3 linked regions of the Caenorhabditis elegans genome follow. The protein of the gene in region 3 interacts with the protein of the main gene of each other region in a pairwise test. Each region holds a gene or a part of one and is shown on either strand. Other genes may lie near its edges.

Region 1 (6,937 bases), on a different chromosome or scaffold from region 3:
GATCTGGGAGGGCGCCGCCGTGATCGAGAGAACGGAGAGATAGAGGGGATGGGTGGGGACGAGAGTGTTGTGATGCGCAGACACACCGGATCGACGCATCCCTACCGGCGACGGCTACTGACCGGCCGGGTCACTTGCGTTCGGACGACGACATGCGAGGTAGGTCATCTCACGTCTTCTTCATCTTCTTCTTCTCTCGAAGATGTTGGTGGAAGGAGAGAGAAAGAGATGCAAAAAAACGGGGAAGGGCATGGCCCGGCGACCGGACCCGCTAACCCGGTCACCCCGTTTTCGGCCATGGCTAACCCAAAAAAGATTCATTTTTGCCGATAGGACAACAATTAATTCAGTAGTTCGTTTCAAGATCCATGATCCAGGTTCTAGGTTCCAGATTCCAATTGAAAGGTTTCAAAATGTGTTTGTGTTGTCTAACCAATGTTTACCATCTATGTTATGCACGTTCCACTGTTATCAAGTCTATCAAATTGATCAAAAATGCCTATATTTCACGGTCACTCTGCCATTGCCCCATAGTTGGACGAGATAGAGACCACCACCTTCCTCTACCGTAATACTCTTCAAAATGCCCTTTTGAAAAGATGAATTGTGAAGGAGGGAACAGCCCAAAATTGAAGAAAGAATCGACATTTCAACACTTTGAAATGATGTCGTAGTTCGTTTTTGGCTTCTTTGTGTGGATTTTGATTATGTTTCAGTTTTACAGTATCTTATACGCTTATAATTGTTTTTTTTTGGACTTTAAATTATTTTTACCATCACCGTATTTTTCTTTTCTTTAGCGCAACTTAAACTTATTTGCTTTTCCTTTCTGGTATTATACTGAGTTATTTATTATGTGATTCCTATTTATACTGTAGTTTTATTTATAAACAATTCCCGGTTCCTCCTTTGACACTTGAAACTTCTAGTTTAAAAAGTCTCACAGTACTGAAATCCATTACTCTACTTTGTCAATTTATATCTGGACTAATTTTACAAATATCAAAACACAGTCAACTACGAAGCAATTTGTGAATTGATAACTTTTCGATGAAACAAAATGAGATATAAGCTAAAAAGGATATGAACAATGTGGCTCAATTATAGTACGGTATCTATTTTGCACCCAGTACCAAATAAATAGTCGTACCCAGTAAATGGAGCACAAAAACCATGCTTCAGATTTTCGTGCGCCCTTTTTCATTTATGAGAAGATTCGTTTTCCCATTTTCTGTCGGATTAATACTGATTTGAAAATTTCAATTTTATTACTGTGTCTATTTTGCAAAAGTTACACTTTTCAGTTATGGTATATTTTGATATTTGAATTGTACTATTATTTTGTTATAACTCAACATCTTGAAACTGTGCAGGATATTAAAAATACTTATCGAATGGTTTTTTTCTTATTTGTGGTCGTGTTCTGTTCTTTTCCGAAACCACATTCCCTCTTTTGTAGATTAAGATCAGTATCTCAAAAAGATCTCTGATTTTCTCTCCCTCTTTCTCGCTTTACTTCTAGATATTTACTTTCACTATTTATTTTATACATCTAAATTTATTATGTAAGGAGCACTAAAAATAATTTTCTCCCCCTTACTAAATTTTTCCTTATTGGTCATAACTTCAACTCAATACGGACAGTCTTTATGGCCCGCACGAGTCAGTACCAGTGCGGCAGTTATAATAAGTATTAATGGTATCTCATCTCCTCATCGAGTTATTATTCCCAATTAAGTTCGTCTCACATCTTGACCTTGAATTCAGTTTTCTTTATTCCCCTTTTTAAGTTTACACTTACTATTAAATTGCAAAAATCTTAAAGCACAGCTTTTTGGTTTTTTTTACTTGAAATTACATTCTAATTATCTCACACAATGTACTTTATCAGTGACTAATGAGAGTGGGGGTAAGGGACACCTTTTCCCGTCCAGCCGCGTGTCACCGAAAACCGGTATTCTCTACCATTAGGTGGTCACTGTCGGTACCAGGTGCATGTTCTCGCTTCGATGGTCTTCAATGCAACATTTCAATGGTCATTTCGAGAGTTTAGCCAAACAACATCAAAACCATTTTCACTCATTTCGAAAATCTTGAAAAAAGGTTTTTAAGAAGATCAGGGGTCAAGGCACATCAGAGCGCATGGCATGGCCTGTAAGGTCACTGGCCCAAATCGGCACCTCACTTCAGTTCTCGAAATGTCATCGTTCGTGTAGTGAGTTGTTTTTCTGTTTACGTGGCACCTCGGCGGGTGTCCTGAAATCTTTTGATCTAACTCTAGACATTTGAAGCAATCCGTAATGTTCTAGCATACTGTAGGGATGTTTCAATTCAAAATGGAAGTTTCGAAGACTATCTAAGATGGCTGAAAGTTTCTGAAATTTTGCACATATTTTTAACCAGATTTCGGGTGTTCTTCACCGTTTTTGCCATCAAATTCACTTTTCCCAGTTTTCCGCGGCGGTACCATCACGTACTTGCTGTGTATACGTCTCCGTCTCTCTTTTGTCGTTTCGCATGATCAGCGGAAAGTACAATTTACGAAATTGCAACCTCCCGTCGTCGTCGTCGCTGCCGCTGCCGCCACCACCATCATCGCAAACCACGTCGTCTATATCCTGCCTCACACAGCGCGACGACGTCGACGACGCGGGGTCCTGTCACCTCCTGGCGGGAGGCATACCGTACCGTTCGCGCGCAACACACCGTGCACAGGTACCGAGGTCACTTCTCGAGATGAAGAAATAGCGCGGAGACGTACACACAATTGTCTTCTTCATCTTCTTATTCCTACGTCTTCTTCATTTCCTACCTTGTTTCTCAGTATTCCCATATCCTCCATCGTCACCGTCTCTTCATTCTTTCAAAACACTGTAATTGTTATGAGAGGAGCGGTGAGATGGGGATAAAGTTGAGAATAGGCAGGAAATGAAGGATGAGCGGTATGATGAGGAAATATGAAATATGTTGCGAATATATAAGACCTGATAATTGTGGTCCTAGGAAACGAGGTTGAAAATCGAGCCGATATAATAAAAGAGTTGGGGACGACGAGATTTTTATCTGAATCAGAAATGAGTGATGCTATTCGAAGTGAGATTGATATAGATTTTATATTCTTGCCGTATACATTTTCTGATTAAAATTTATGCACAAAAACATAAAGAACTCCCGAAGCATATTTCTCTTGGCGGGTTTTCGTCAAATTTTTCATTTAAAAATACCAAAAAGCTGAGCCATTTTTTTTGCGTTTTAGGCGAGACATTAAAATTTCCAGTTTCACCAAATTTCTTTTGAAGAATTCCATTTGCAAAACAATGCAAAAACAAAATTTTTTTGTTTTTTTTCAAATATTTGAACTTCTGCGTTTTTAATATTTATAAATATTAAAAACGCAGAAGGTACGGTGTGCTAAGAGTGTTTGCGGACTTTAGTTCATTTTATGTCGCCTACCGTAGTCCGCCTCGCTGATATTCGTTTTTTTTTAAATTCATTTTTGACATAAATATTTTGTTTTCAACCATTTTTCTCAAATTTAAATTTAGAATTCGAAAAAAATCTTACTATTCTAATCTAAAATATGCAATGATTCAATTTTTAAGGCTAATTCCCCCCCCAAAAGCAAATAACAATGAAAAAAAATGTTCAGCAGGAATTTAAATATTTATTTTGCGTGAATTTTTTTCCTAACTATAAGCTAGTTATTATGTTTAGATTATATCTTATTGATAAAACCTAAATAATAATAATAAGTCACGTTAAGATCCACGGCTGGTTTTTGTTTCGAAATTTCAATTAATTTCAATTTATATCCTCCAGTAACTAATAGGTGAGTTTCTTAAGCTCTGCGATTGCATGGCATTTCGTAAAAAAAAAACGTTTCGCAAACTGTTTCTAGACGTTCAATCTTTCCGCGTATCCTATCATTACTCGCTTAAATTGTAGTCCGCCTTTCTTGATTTTATCTTCAGCTGGCCTCGATCGCGACAACAAGCTCACAATTTTCCGATGCAAGCTGTAGAGCAGAAGTTGGCTGATGCAACACGAACTCTTCATGCAAAGTCATCTCTTCAACCATCACTCTCAATTGAAACTCCAAAAAGCAAGGAAAATGATGAATCTGGATGCGAGAGTTCAAATTGCATGTTTCATCCGCATACGATCAAATCGGAACCAAATTTTTGTTTTGCTCGGGAGTTTAAGTCAGTTCCCGATGATTTTCGTATAGGCGGCGGAGATCTTCAAATGGGAAACAATTCCAAAAGATTGACATGTGTTATTGATACAAATCGAGTCGATATGGCCGGAATTCTTCCTGATAATATGAGCTTCCGGGGACTTCCCGAAAACAAATCTCTTCTGGGTATGCACGTATTTTTTGTTCATTGTCCTACTAACCTTTAAAACCCTTGAAATTTGGAATTTGGAACCGAACTCTGAAAAAAAACACTCCAAAATTGTGATAAACTGAACTTTTTAAAGATTCTAAATTTACTTTTTCAGTATCAGCGCAGATAGAAGTAATACCATGTAAAGTGTGCGGTGACAAGTCGTCTGGCGTTCACTATGGAGTTATCACATGTGAAGGCTGCAAGGTATGCCTTTTTACCAGAATTACTTTATTTCTTATACATTTTTCAGGGCTTTTTCCGACGCAGTCAATCATCCATCGTCAATTATCAGTGTCCGAGACAGAAGAATTGTGTTGTTGATAGGTATCTCAGTTAGGAATGTTACAGAAATTTAATATCGTATTTTCAGAGTGAATCGAAATCGATGCCAATACTGCCGTCTCAAAAAGTGTATTGAGTTAGGAATGTCACGGGATGCAGTTAAATTTGGACGAATGTCAAAAAAGCAACGAGAAAAAGTAGAAGATGAGGTATTTACATTCCCAATTCTAAACTTCGTATTCATGTCATCGTTTTTGTCTGTTCAATCCTTAAAGGTTCAGGTTCGAATGCATAAAGAATTAGCTGCAAATGGTCTTGGATACCAAGCAATTTACGGCGACTATTCCCCTCCACCATCCCATCCCAGTTATTGGTAATTATCACCTACATTTTTCTGTCATGCAACGTCATTTTCAGCTTTGATCAAAGTATGTACGGTCATTATCCATCTGGAACTTCAACACCTGTTAACGGATATTCTATAGCTGTTGCTGCGACTCCTACGACTCCAATGCCACAGAACATGTACGGAGCAACACCATCATCTACAAATGGCACACAATATGTTGCACATCAAGCCACTGGAGGAAGCTTCCCATCGCCACAAGTTCCAGAAGAAGACGTTGCCACTCGCGTTATCAGAGCTTTCAATCAGCAGCACAGTTCCTATACAACACAACATGGAGTTTGTAACGTGGATCCTGATTGTATTCCTCATTTGAGTCGAGCTGGTGGTTGGGAGCTCTTCGCTAGGGAGCTCAATCCGCTTATTCAAGCAATTATTGAGTTTGCCAAAAGTATTGATGGATTTATGAATCTTCCGCAAGAAACACAGATTCAATTGCTGAAGGGAAGCGTTTTTGAGTTATCACTCGTTTTTGCTGCTATGTATTACAATGTAGACGCGCAGGCAGTGTGCGGTGAAAGGTATTCTGTTCCATTTGCATGCTTGATTGCCGAAGATGATGCCGAGGTATTTATTTTCATAGAGTAATATCGGCTCATACTCAATGTTTCAGATGCAATTGATCGTTGAAGTTAATAACACTCTTCAAGAAATTGTTCATTTACAACCGCATCAATCCGAATTAGCTCTTCTTGCCGCTGGACTTATTCTGGAGCAAGTGTCTTCTTCTCATGGAATTGGGATTCTTGACACTGCGACGATTGCCACTGCAGAAACACTGAAGAACGCGTTGTACCAAAGTGTCATGCCAAGAATTGGATGCATGGAAGACACGATTCACCGAATTCAAGATGTTGAGACAAGAATCAGACAAACAGCTCGTTTGCATCAAGAGGTATTATTTGCTGAAGCTTGGATATAAATAATCTGGAATGCTTAATTTTGAGGTTATTATTTTTCTATTTACAGGCTCTTCAAAACTTCCGAATGTCTGATCCAACATCATCTGAAAAGCTTCCTGCCCTCTACAAAGAGCTATTCACTGCAGATCGGCCTTGACTGAATCCATATATCATCAATAGTTTTATCCATGCTCTCCTTCCCTATCCCCGTCCATGAATCTCGTTTCCTCCGGTTATTTGTACAATAAGAGTAGACCAAAGCGCCGTTTGAACCCAACGACACCATTTTCTTTCCTTCTGTGATTTCCTTTCCCGACATTCCCCCCAAAACCCCAGTCGTTTCCATGTTTTATCAGAAAATTAATAGAAAAATAATTGTAGTCGTCTGTTGCAGGAGAGTTCCTCATTCTTTCTCTCCTTTTCCTGTTTTTAAAGTGATTTACTCGGATCTTCTTTACTTACTTGTTCTAATTTATTAATGACTTTTGTCACCCCCCCCCCCCCCCTCGTGTACCATGTACAATCATGTTGCGTTCCATGTTTTCTTGCATTTCATGTTCAGTAAAATTTCTGAAACCATACCAATCTCTCTCTTGTCTTATCATTTCTCTTCAGGTATTGATGCCTCTCCCCATCCCATCCCATACTCTTTTCGTGATCAACACGGGTACAAAACCACAAATTTCCATTTATCTGGATTTCTAGGCGCACTAATTTTTATTTTATTAAATATCTCCCCATTTATTGCCTTTTAAAACTCGTATCATTCCAGTGTCTGCGCTTTAATTACGCCTTCTTACCCATTTGATCCAACCATTTTCTCGTTTATGGTGTAGTGGTCGCTTGAGTGTTTCCATTGTTTCATGTAACATCCTAAATATGTTTCATTGTCATCAATGCATTCAGCTCCATACACCGACTTTTTAATTTATTTCACTTTCCTCTCGGTTCTACCT
Region 2 (4,900 bases), 4.9 Mb from region 3:
CAATTGAAACACTAATTATATTGGGAACAGAATTTCTGCGCGAAATTTGAAATTTTAATCGAAAGTTTGTCGGTTGCACATTTTTTGAAATTTCCAGACTCTTTAAAAATTCAAATTTACCTGCCGTGCTCGCACTCTGCGCCTGCTGAATCCAAGGCCAAATCGTCGACGTCTGCCACGGAATCTGTTGGGTTACGGTAGGCAGGGGTACTGTAGGAGGTCGTGGTCGAGGTGGTGGCGGAGCAAATGCGTGACGGCGTGTCGTTGAACTTGACGGAGACGTTTCGGGTGTCGAGTCGGTGCCTGCAAATTTTTTTTGTTTGATTTTTGATGAAAAATTGAGGAAGCGGGGAAGCTTGTTGCGGAAAACGGAAATTTGTGGCGCTGATAAGTGTGATAATCAGTTGGAAAATGACAAAGTGCGTGGAGACCTTTGGACTTTTGGCTACTATCGTTGCATTTCTGTGTGAATTTTTGAAAAGCAATAATTACAGAAAATCCTAGCGTAAGAGTTGCTAAAAATTAAAACATTAAAGGCGGCGTGGATTTTAACAAAAAAATCCTAAAATCAAGTCGAAATTTTTACTAAAAATCAAAAAAAGGTTTGAAACTAAACTTGAAACAGAATTTCTAAAAATTTGCGTTATTTGCAACAGGGGAGTGCGGCAATGATTTATTCCGGCAAATGGGCAAATTGACGGAGTTGAAATTTCCAATTTTTGCCGATTTGCCGAATATGCCGGAAAAACGGCAAATGCGGAAAATTTTAGACAAATTAGGGTTCTGCACTGTTTTTTTTGGAAATTTCAGAATTTCAATTTCAATCGGCAAAATTGTACAAATTGCCAGAATTGAAAATTTCCGGCAAATCGGCGAACCGGCACATTGCCGGAATTAAAAATGTCCTGCAAATCGGGAAAAAAGATTTGCCGAATTCTACCCCTGATTTGCAACTCTAAAACTATAAAATATTCACGAGGATTGATATTCCAGTAACACAAATTTTGGCGTTCATTTTCATTTAGTTAAATATTAAAAAATTTAAGTCTGCCACAAGTTTAGACTTTTGAAATTTCAAAAAAAGTGTGCAAAGTTTGATATTGAACACTTGAACTCAGCGCAAAACTTCAAATTCTCTACAAAAAAATTCAAAAAAAAACTCACCAACACCAGAATCGGGACTGTTCGTCGGCTCCAAACTCAGCGTGGAACTCTGATCCAACAATTGTTGAAGTACAGTAATCTGGACGGAACATGAAGTTGGCTGAAGTTGTGTAGAAATTGGAATATGTAGTACTGTGGATATCATTTTTGGTAGTAGTTAATGGAAGTTTCCAGAATAGTTCACGAAGAAATTAAAGTTTAAATCAAACAAAAAACCCAGGAAGTCTAAAATCGGAATTCCACCCTCTTTTTCCCTATTTTTTGTGCTTTTTCCGCACTTTTACTGATAAGAATCATATGAGAAGTCCGAAGGTCGAGTTGACGTTTTAGAAACATTAAACTACAGTTTTAAAAGTTTTTTAGGATTTGTGAGTGTGAAGTTTCTGAAATCATAATTTTATTTAAATCTATGAAAGTGGGTTAACTATGAGAGGTTGTTTTTACCTAAAAATTGTTTTTTTTTATTTGAAAAAATCACAATGTTTCATAAATTGCATAAACCTACTAAAACCATCTTGACATGTCAAACTTCACATAACTTTTTAAAATTTATTTTTCGAATTTCCAGAAATTTCCAAAACTTTCAGTAACGTTCTAAAATTTTCCAGAACTTATCTCGATTTCCAAAAAATGTTCAGAAACTTCTGGAAGTTTCCAGAACTTTCTCAAAAAACTCTGAAACACTTAACATTAAAAATTCGACTTCTATGACGTCACTCGTGCTTTTCATTTGTAAAATTTATGTGGGCACATTATTTGATAATTCATTTTCCGTAATTTTGCAGGTCAAGCGGTGATGGGATTTTTTTTTCAAATTTTCAAAAACATAGTTCTGATTTTTTTTTCTTCAAATTTTATGATTTTTTTGAAATATTTCAGAGCTTTACAGTTCTTGAAACTAAGTTTTCAAATTACAAACTTACAATTTCAAACAGGCCGTGTGCCAGGACAGCGGGTGCAGAAATCCGTCGACCATCAGCATATTTTGGTGTTGGTCGTTCAATACGAGGCCATTCGGATTCCGTTTTCATTTCGACATCCTTCAAATTTTCGGTTGAAATTGGATTTGAAAAATAATTAATGGAGAAAAACCAGAGCTTTTGAAAATACTCCAAAAATATTCTGTTTAATCGAGAAAATCTTTGACTCAATCTAAAATTGCAAATTAAAACTAAAAGTTTTCTCCAAAAATTTCAAAATTTTATGACTGAAGAAATATAATTTTCCTAATTTCCAACGTTCCAGAAAATAGGCAAGAAAGGGTGGAACCTCAGATTTAAAACTAGCATTTAAACCAAAGGTGGGGCAAATCGGCACATTGCCGGAATCGAAAATTTCCGGCAAATCGGCAAATCGACAAACTGCTGGAATTGAAAATTTCCGGCAAACCGGCAAATCGGCAATTTGCCGGAATCGTAAATTTTTTAAAGTTTTGGTAAATTGCCAAAATTCAAAACATTTTAGGTTTTTTGATACAAACATAATTAAATTATTCAAAACTTTATAAAAAGTTTAATATAAAAATTAGAAACTTTAGCACTAATGTAGTATTGGTTTATAACTATTAAAGCATAAAAACCAGCAAAAAACCCCCCTTACCAAATCTCTCCCATCATCCTCCTCATCATTTTCATTATCATTATTATTGTTGATTCGAGAACTTTTGCTACTGATATTACTTGATGAAATATTAAGTGGTGACGTGGCAGTTGGTAATACAAGTAATAGTGGTTCAGGCCGTGGTTGTCCTTGTATTTGGATCATTGGAATGAAAATTAAAATAAAAAACTAAATTTCAGATAAATAGATAAATAAATAAATAATAATAATGTGTATTCTACTATGGATCCACACGGAAAGGGCGAAAGTGTTCGTGTTTCACTGTCCGCGCGCCCTCAACAAACCCCGCCTACTTATGTTCCGCGTGGGGCGGGGCGCGGCGACCTTTCCGCGCGCACTCGAAACTGTATGGAGGGGGGCCCTATTATTTACTTTGTACTAGCCGTTTTCCGTTTTCCTGTCCACTGAAAAGTGAAGGGATGGAAGAGGGGGGTAAGGCGTAATAAGGGGGAGGGAGATTAGGAATTTTGAAAGGATGCCACAGCGCCAAAAGTTTGGAAGGAACAGTCAAATCTGTTTGGTCTCAGAGGTAGCGCCAGTGGGGGGTTTTGCCTAAATACACTTATACTCATCCAAAACAACCAAATATCAGAATAAAACATTTCAAAAATTTTTAGATTTTTCATAATTTCTGGTCAAAGTTTTGGCAAATTGCCAAAATTTTGAAAAATATGAGATTTCGAGAAAATCCAAAAAAATGCCGCAAAGTTTCAATAAAGTTAAGTACTTTCATTTAGATGCCAACACATCGCCACCCCTCATACAAAGAGACGCACGTTTACAACCCAATGCCCCATATATCGAATATCAGCTCTATTAAGAAGAAATCTACACGTACGATACGTACTGCTGTACTGTTATGACTATCCATCCCTGTGAGAACTTTTTTTGAATAGGTATTTACAACCCCCTACGACGAGACACATTGTTTTTTGGGGACCAACCATCATAATTTTTTTTCGCTTTGTGGTGGTTTACGTTGTCGTTTTCCGGTTTCGCGAGAAAATGTCAGAAAGGAGGAGCTCAGACTAGATTTCAAGAACATGGGAATTCAGAAACATAGGCTACAGATTGTTTCATTCGTCATCGCTCGGACGGGGGTTCGAACCAGCGACGTAATTTCAGTGTTCAAACACAGTTAAATCGCGGGGTATACATTGTGTCTTTTGAGGCATAAATCATACATCAGCGAAGCGCAAACGCACACAGTGTATACATCGCGAACAAAATGCGATCATTTTCGCGATGTGTACATTATGTATGCGTAATGCATATATCGCGAAAGGGGGAATTTCAAATTTAAGGCATATATTTTTTGGCCAACTCTCCCTGGGGGCAACAAAAAAGGGGACAACATTTGAACTCTCCCTGGGGGGCAACAAATTAGGGGGCAACATTTTCATAAATGTAGGGGGCAGCAAAAAAGGGGGCAACATAATAGGGGTCAACATTTGAACTCTCCCCGGGGCAACAAATTAGGGGGCAACATTTTAATAAACTTCTTGCCAACGCAACGGAAGTTGAGCAATTTCCTCCGCATAGAACTCCTGAGAATTGGAGCTTCTGGCGGGTCTTCACAGCTGTATGAGGTCTTGCGTTGTCATGTAGCAGCAACAATTTTGATCCTCTAGGGCGATGTAATTGATGAGCATGGACTACCTTTTCCAATTGAGTGCAGTACAGGTCAGCGTTGATGGTGACGCCGTCTGGAAGAAGCTCTCGGAAAATGACACCCGTACTGTCCCACCAAATTGAGAGAAGCACTTTTTTCTTGTGAAGTTCCCCTTTGAGATCAGGTTTAGCGTGTTCCTCGACCGGGACCCACTGTTTCTTTCTGGTATGGTTCACATAACACAGGTGATTCGCAGTGTAAGCAAAATGCTTGAACCCTACAAGGAATAGTCGTTTTCTCAGCTAAAAACTTTCTACCTAACGTTTAAATTGACACAAATAGAGTAAATATCATTTACTACTGTATCTGATGATTTAAAAGCAAGTTTTCAAAAAAAAATTTTTTTTGGATTTTTGAAATTCATAAGGGTCCCCCCTTATGATCCGCTTTGAAAATCATAAGGGTCCCCCCTATGAAAATTTATTTTCGTGGAAACTTTTTTTT
Region 3 (5,148 bases):
AAAATCAATGAATCTGTCCATCGCATTGCCTCAATTAGTCCATCGGACATATCAATCGATTTTCTAGCATATTGATCGAGAAGATCCGACCAGACTTCCTGAACAAGAGTGATGTCCTGCCAAACTATATCAGCACGTATCCGATCCCATGCTTCTCGTTTCTGAACCTTCAACTGAGCATCCGGCGTGGCGGCTTGCATCTCCTCATCGTAGAGAATCGGATTTTCTCGAACCATATTGATTAGTTGAAGCTGAAAATTTGAAAATTTTGAATTTTAAACGTTTTCCAGCTTACAAGTGTGTATTGCGTAGTTTTTACGGGTGGATCTTCCCTGGAAAATTGTTGTTGGAGGTCTCCAGCACCACCGTGGGAGCTTGAGGCGACACCTGGAAAAATTATTGGAAATTCTGAATCTATGAATATCGATTTACTTGTCATTGAATGCTTGAGACCGGCGATTTGATAATCCTCTGTTCCGTGCCGCCGTCGGTCGCTCATTGGAAATTTTTAATAATAATTCTGAAATTTATTTTCTTCTCAAATTCTCGCAAGTTTCTCAAGCATTTCTAGCTGCGTTGCGTGGCGATTCCTTCCCGAATTCGAGTTTCATATCAATCTACGATCCATTGAACCCAATAACCCGATTGGCAAGAAGATGATCGTACACACTCATTCACATAGGTGATAGACGTGCTACAGACCGTGGGAGACTCGAACGGGTAGTAGGGCGGAGCCGGGAACCGCGACGCAACCGAAACGCTTCAGAAACCGCAACGGAACAGGCATGCGAAGCGGTCAAGATTCGAAAAAGAAAACGGAGCGAACAGGCAGAAAAACATCGATAGATAGGCGCGCGTGGCCGAGAAGGAGGCGAGACGAGACATCTAGGCCATCGATGGTTTCTCTGCGTCTCTCAAGTGAGTAAATAAATGGTTTTGAGAGGGTAAAATGAAGAAAAAGGATTGATCGAAATTTAAAAACTTAGTCTAGGAAAGGAAAACAAAGCAGGGGAAATCTGAAACAAAACATATAAAAACACACATTTTAACTATTTTTCAGAGTTAAACAAATATAATCTAACAAGAATTCAACTTCAAAGTGAAGATTTCCAGAAACGAAAATGGTTATGTGATTTAAAAATGTGATTTGTTCAAGGAATTACAAGAAAACTCTGGTTTAACATTTGAAGAAAATCCATATTGCGAAAAATGAATTTTAAAAGAATTATTGACGGTTTTGAAATGTGAAATTTTCAATAAATTTCGAAAAATAGATAACTTTTTTTAAATAAAGAAAAACAACGAAAAAATATTTCAGTGGTTACGGTAAACAAGCATAAGAGTGTTTGCGTACTGCGGACCAAAATCTTCGCGAGACCTCGGGTACTGTAGAAAATTTAGGTATTTTTAAAACTTTATTTTTCTATTAATTTCCCTTCTTTCTCATTGGGATTTTCTAGTTTTCTGGTAAATAAAAACAGTTTAAATTTAAATTTAAAAATTTTATCTCCATATTTTTTGTTTCCAGGATGTCTTCTGAACCCATTGTTGCCAATCTAGACAATTCCATGACGACAGAGCCTGCACCCGCAGCTTTTCCACCAATATCCCCAATGTCATTTGCTTTTATGAATGAAGAAGAACGAGCAGCGGTCAAGTTTCCAAAAGTTGATCCAAAACCGCAAACTGCTAAAGATGATGAACCTTCCACATCCCAGAAAACGTTGAGCGTCGATGATCTTCTGATAGTCGACGACGACGACGAAACTGATTCACCACCGGCATCTTCTAGTAATTATGAACCTAAAGCTCATATTGGATGGGCTTCATTCGGAGATTCCTGTCTCCCACCTCCACCAAAGCCAGTTAAAAAAGCTACGGATCCAAATTTGCCACGAAGAAGTTTGTTTGCAAATGGTCCTCTGTTAAATAAAAATATTGTTTTCAGAAGTCTACGTCATTCGTTCTCAGAATACAGACAAGTCGAAGTCCCCGTTAGTTGTTAATAACCAACAAGTAACACTCGAAAAGGCACAAAATTCTCCAAAAAATCCGAATCCTGTTGTATCTAAGCCAATAGTGCTTACAGACTCTGATGAGGATGTGGACGTTGTTGGATTCGACGAAGAGGAGGAAGCGTTAGTTTTTAAAAAGTTTTTTATTAAACAAAACAATCACCCGTCTTCAGAATTAAAATTATGGCCGACCCTACACGCCCACCAGATCTTCCACCACAGCGATCTCTGATATCCAGATTTGAGTCGAATCGAACCAAAAGAGGTATTTTCCATGAAAATTTGATTTTTTAAAGCTCATTTTCTCTTCAGATATCTTCCGAAACAGTTATGATTCTGATGAGGAGGAATTTCTGCGATCTCGGTACCAGCGAGCTGTCACACCGCCGCCAATTCTCGAGCGACAAAGTGGAAGTACTCGGGAGTCTGTAAGCGAACCAAGTGAAGGGAAAATTCTCGAGGAAGACGCAACGCTTGGAAGTGAACATACGGAAAGAGTCGGAAAACGAATTGAGTAAGTTGAATTTCGGGTTTTTGAAAACCTTGACTTCCAAAATAATGACAATTTGTTTAATAAGTCCTGCTAAAAAGCAAATTTTCCAGATTGGAGGAAATCAATCCATCACAGCTTCTACGAACCAAAATTTCGGCGAGCGCAATTCCAATCCTTCCACTCTCCAAATCGATAATGGAACGTAAAAAAGTAGCTCTGGAGATGACGAAAAACGCCGTGATCAGACAAGCGAATAACTTCCGTCCAAAAGCCAAAAACAGTACCGTGGCTCCAAAAAGTGTCCAAATTCCTGCATATAATCATAAAACTCCTATGACGTTCTACTCGAATATGGCGGTAAATTATATATTTTTGGAAAACCCTAAAGTGGAACTTCAATATTTCGAATTTTCCTGCATTATCATTAACAAAAAAACTTTTCAGCAATTACTAGTGTTTTTCATCCAATAATTATATTATTTCATTCCCTGTTTTCATCATAAGCAAAAAATATTTTCATCTAATGGTTGCACAAAATGGTAAATTTTTTGAAGAACTACAGTAACCCAACTCCAGTTTCTCTCAATAAATTAAAAAAATCTTGGCGAAAAATAAGAAAGTTCAGCGACATTGAAAAGAAGAGGAGAAGGGTTACTGTAGTTCTAAAAGGCGCTTACATTTTTGCGCCGGGATGATTGGAGATAATTGTTCGTGGTGCGACCGTAGTTCTTCCTAAAATTTTGCCACTGGCTAGTACTTTACAAAATCAAATTATTTGTGGCGAGACCTACAACGAACAATTTTCAAAATTCAGGCCCCCGCCTTCGTCAAAGGAGTCAATGGAAGATGTTATCGTTGCGCCGAAATTCAAAAGCCTGTGGATATGAGCTCCTTCCGATTCGTCGACGATTCTACCGTTATTGCCATCCGTGCTCATCTTTGCGATCAGACACGCGTCATGGTAGCTAGAACAGCAATTTGGAATCGAGAATACGCGAAACGACTCGGCGATCGAGCTGCTGGAACTGTTTGGCAGAAACCGGACGAGGTGTCGGCTCAGATGACCGGATTTTGCAGTGCGACGGTTCGTAGATGTATTGAGATTGCCAATATGTCTATCATTCCAAAGTGTGCTGATCGTGTTGGTGTTTCGGTAAGTTTCAAAGAACAAAGAAGATTTAATCTAACTTTTTTCAGAGAAACGAACTGACCTCCCTGAAGTCTTCTTTCGGATCCGAGAAGTTTTGTGGGCAGACCATGCGAGCTCCACATGTACTCACTCAGTTCTACTCAGTTAATCAGGCATCGATGGCTCGTAATAGGGAAGGTTCTGATGGTCCTTCTTCCTCAGCAGCAAGACCGGTTGGAAGACCACCCACTACGCAACCAGTAGAAACTGCAGTGGAGAAAAAGAAGAATGATGAAGATGAGAAAAGACATCATCCACTCACAAACTTCACAACAGCATCCACGTCTTCCCAAAATCTGCAAGATCAACCACCACCCAAGAATACCGTTCTCCGCTGGTCAAATATCACAACTCCGAGGATTCTTCGTCCACCAACTCTCAAAACTCCCTACTCGCTTCCCAGGACTGCAGTGATTCCGGTGATGAAGAAGAAGCAGCCCGAAATAGAGCAAGTTCAGCCGAAGAAGGACACGACGGCAAGCCTTGTTCGCAAAAGAGGCCGCCCGAGAAAGGAGAAGCCTCTGGAGGTGCAGTCTCCTCGCAAGGGACTATATCTTCGCTTCAAATCGTGCACAAAGTATATTGTTCGGGTAAGAGAACTGAACAATTTGAAAACTTGAAATATTTGGTTTTACAGACTCCAATTGACAAAAGTGTCCAAGAAACGGTGAACTATCTACTGGATGAGGTTGACAAAAGGGCTTCAACTTCTGCTACGTAGCTGCTACAATCTCTGTTCTTTTGTTTTTGTTTTCTCGTTCTAAATGTTTTGTTGTCTCATGTTTTTAGTTCTTCGGAACTTGTTATCCCCTCCCAGTGTTTTATTATTTTTTGTACATTTTACTGTTGCTCTGTTCTGCACGTTGACCCCACATTTGTTAGTAGCATATGAAACGGTTTTATAAAGTAAGTGGAAAAGGTAGAAAATCTGAATTTGATAATTTTTTAATACGGCTGAATACGATACTCGACTTCCGCGAATCCCCATCCCGGCTTTCCGTCGACAACGAATTCGCTCATTCCTTCGGTGACCTGACATGCTTGATCCAATCCCATTTTGAATGAGACGGCTTCCTTGATATGAACATCTGCGTGATGAATCTTGCCGTCAACTTCGAACGAGTAGTGGAAATCATCAGGGAAATGACGATCCTCTCCGTGGTTTGGAAGGGAGAAGTGTACACGATCCACTGGCTTCGTCTCACCAGTTCTGAAAAAAAAAATTTAGGTTCTGCCCATTAAGGAAATTACTAGAATCTTTTGCGAGAATACGGTACTCGGTCTCGAAACGACTTAAAGGACACTTATAATGATCCAAAACGACGAAAAATCATAATAAAACACTCCAAAAATGTTTATATTTTTCGTAAGCTTTCGCAAATTGCCAAAATATTGAAAAATAGGAGCTATTGAGAAAATCTAAAGCAATGTTGCATACCCCTACAATGTGT

What was found. The genes of interacting proteins can lie anywhere in the genome.
Region 1: the proteins of xnd-1 (region 3) and nhr-23 interact in a two-hybrid assay, tested with the Caenorhabditis elegans proteins (one large-scale study listed by BioGRID).
Region 2: the proteins of xnd-1 (region 3) and elf-1 interact in a two-hybrid assay, tested with the Caenorhabditis elegans proteins (one large-scale study listed by BioGRID).

The regions. Positions count from the first base shown.
Region 1 is NC_003279.8:7,214,815-7,221,751, forward strand, and holds nhr-23 (Nuclear hormone receptor family member nhr-23), read left to right. Parts: upstream 1-1,969; 5' UTR 1,970-2,147; coding exon 2,148-2,215; intron 2,216-3,971; coding exon 3,972-4,363; intron 4,364-4,503; coding exon 4,504-4,595; intron 4,596-4,641; coding exon 4,642-4,715; intron 4,716-4,761; coding exon 4,762-4,882; intron 4,883-4,948; coding exon of another isoform or gene 4,949-4,954; coding exon 4,955-5,046; intron 5,047-5,090; coding exon 5,091-5,646; intron 5,647-5,692; coding exon 5,693-5,974; intron 5,975-6,048; coding exon 6,049-6,138; 3' UTR 6,139-6,414; downstream 6,415-6,937. UniProt on the Caenorhabditis elegans protein: Orphan nuclear receptor. Transcription factor. Modulates expression of target genes, such as Period protein homolog lin-42 and microRNA let-7, by binding to hormone response elements (HRE).
Region 2 is NC_003281.10:704,457-709,356, reverse strand, and holds the start of elf-1 (ETS domain-containing protein), read right to left. Parts: upstream 3,024-4,900; 5' UTR 2,929-3,023; coding exon 2,764-2,928; intron 2,205-2,763; coding exon 2,088-2,204; intron 1,265-2,087; coding exon 1,165-1,264; intron 801-1,164; exon of another isoform or gene 651-800; intron 304-650; coding exon 121-303; intron 1-120.
Region 3 is NC_003281.10:5,602,932-5,608,079, forward strand, and holds xnd-1 (X chromosome NonDisjunction factor), read left to right. Parts: upstream 1-1,528; 5' UTR 1,529-1,529; coding exon 1,530-1,902; intron 1,903-1,948; coding exon 1,949-2,138; intron 2,139-2,188; coding exon 2,189-2,280; intron 2,281-2,327; coding exon 2,328-2,529; intron 2,530-2,618; coding exon 2,619-2,865; intron 2,866-3,322; coding exon 3,323-3,661; intron 3,662-3,705; coding exon 3,706-4,287; intron 4,288-4,334; coding exon 4,335-4,418; 3' UTR 4,419-4,625; downstream 4,626-5,148. Other genes in the region: madf-11 (MADF domain-containing protein), read right to left, coding at 1-251, 296-387, 433-499; C05D2.8 (DUF7064 domain-containing protein), read right to left, coding at 4,643-4,907.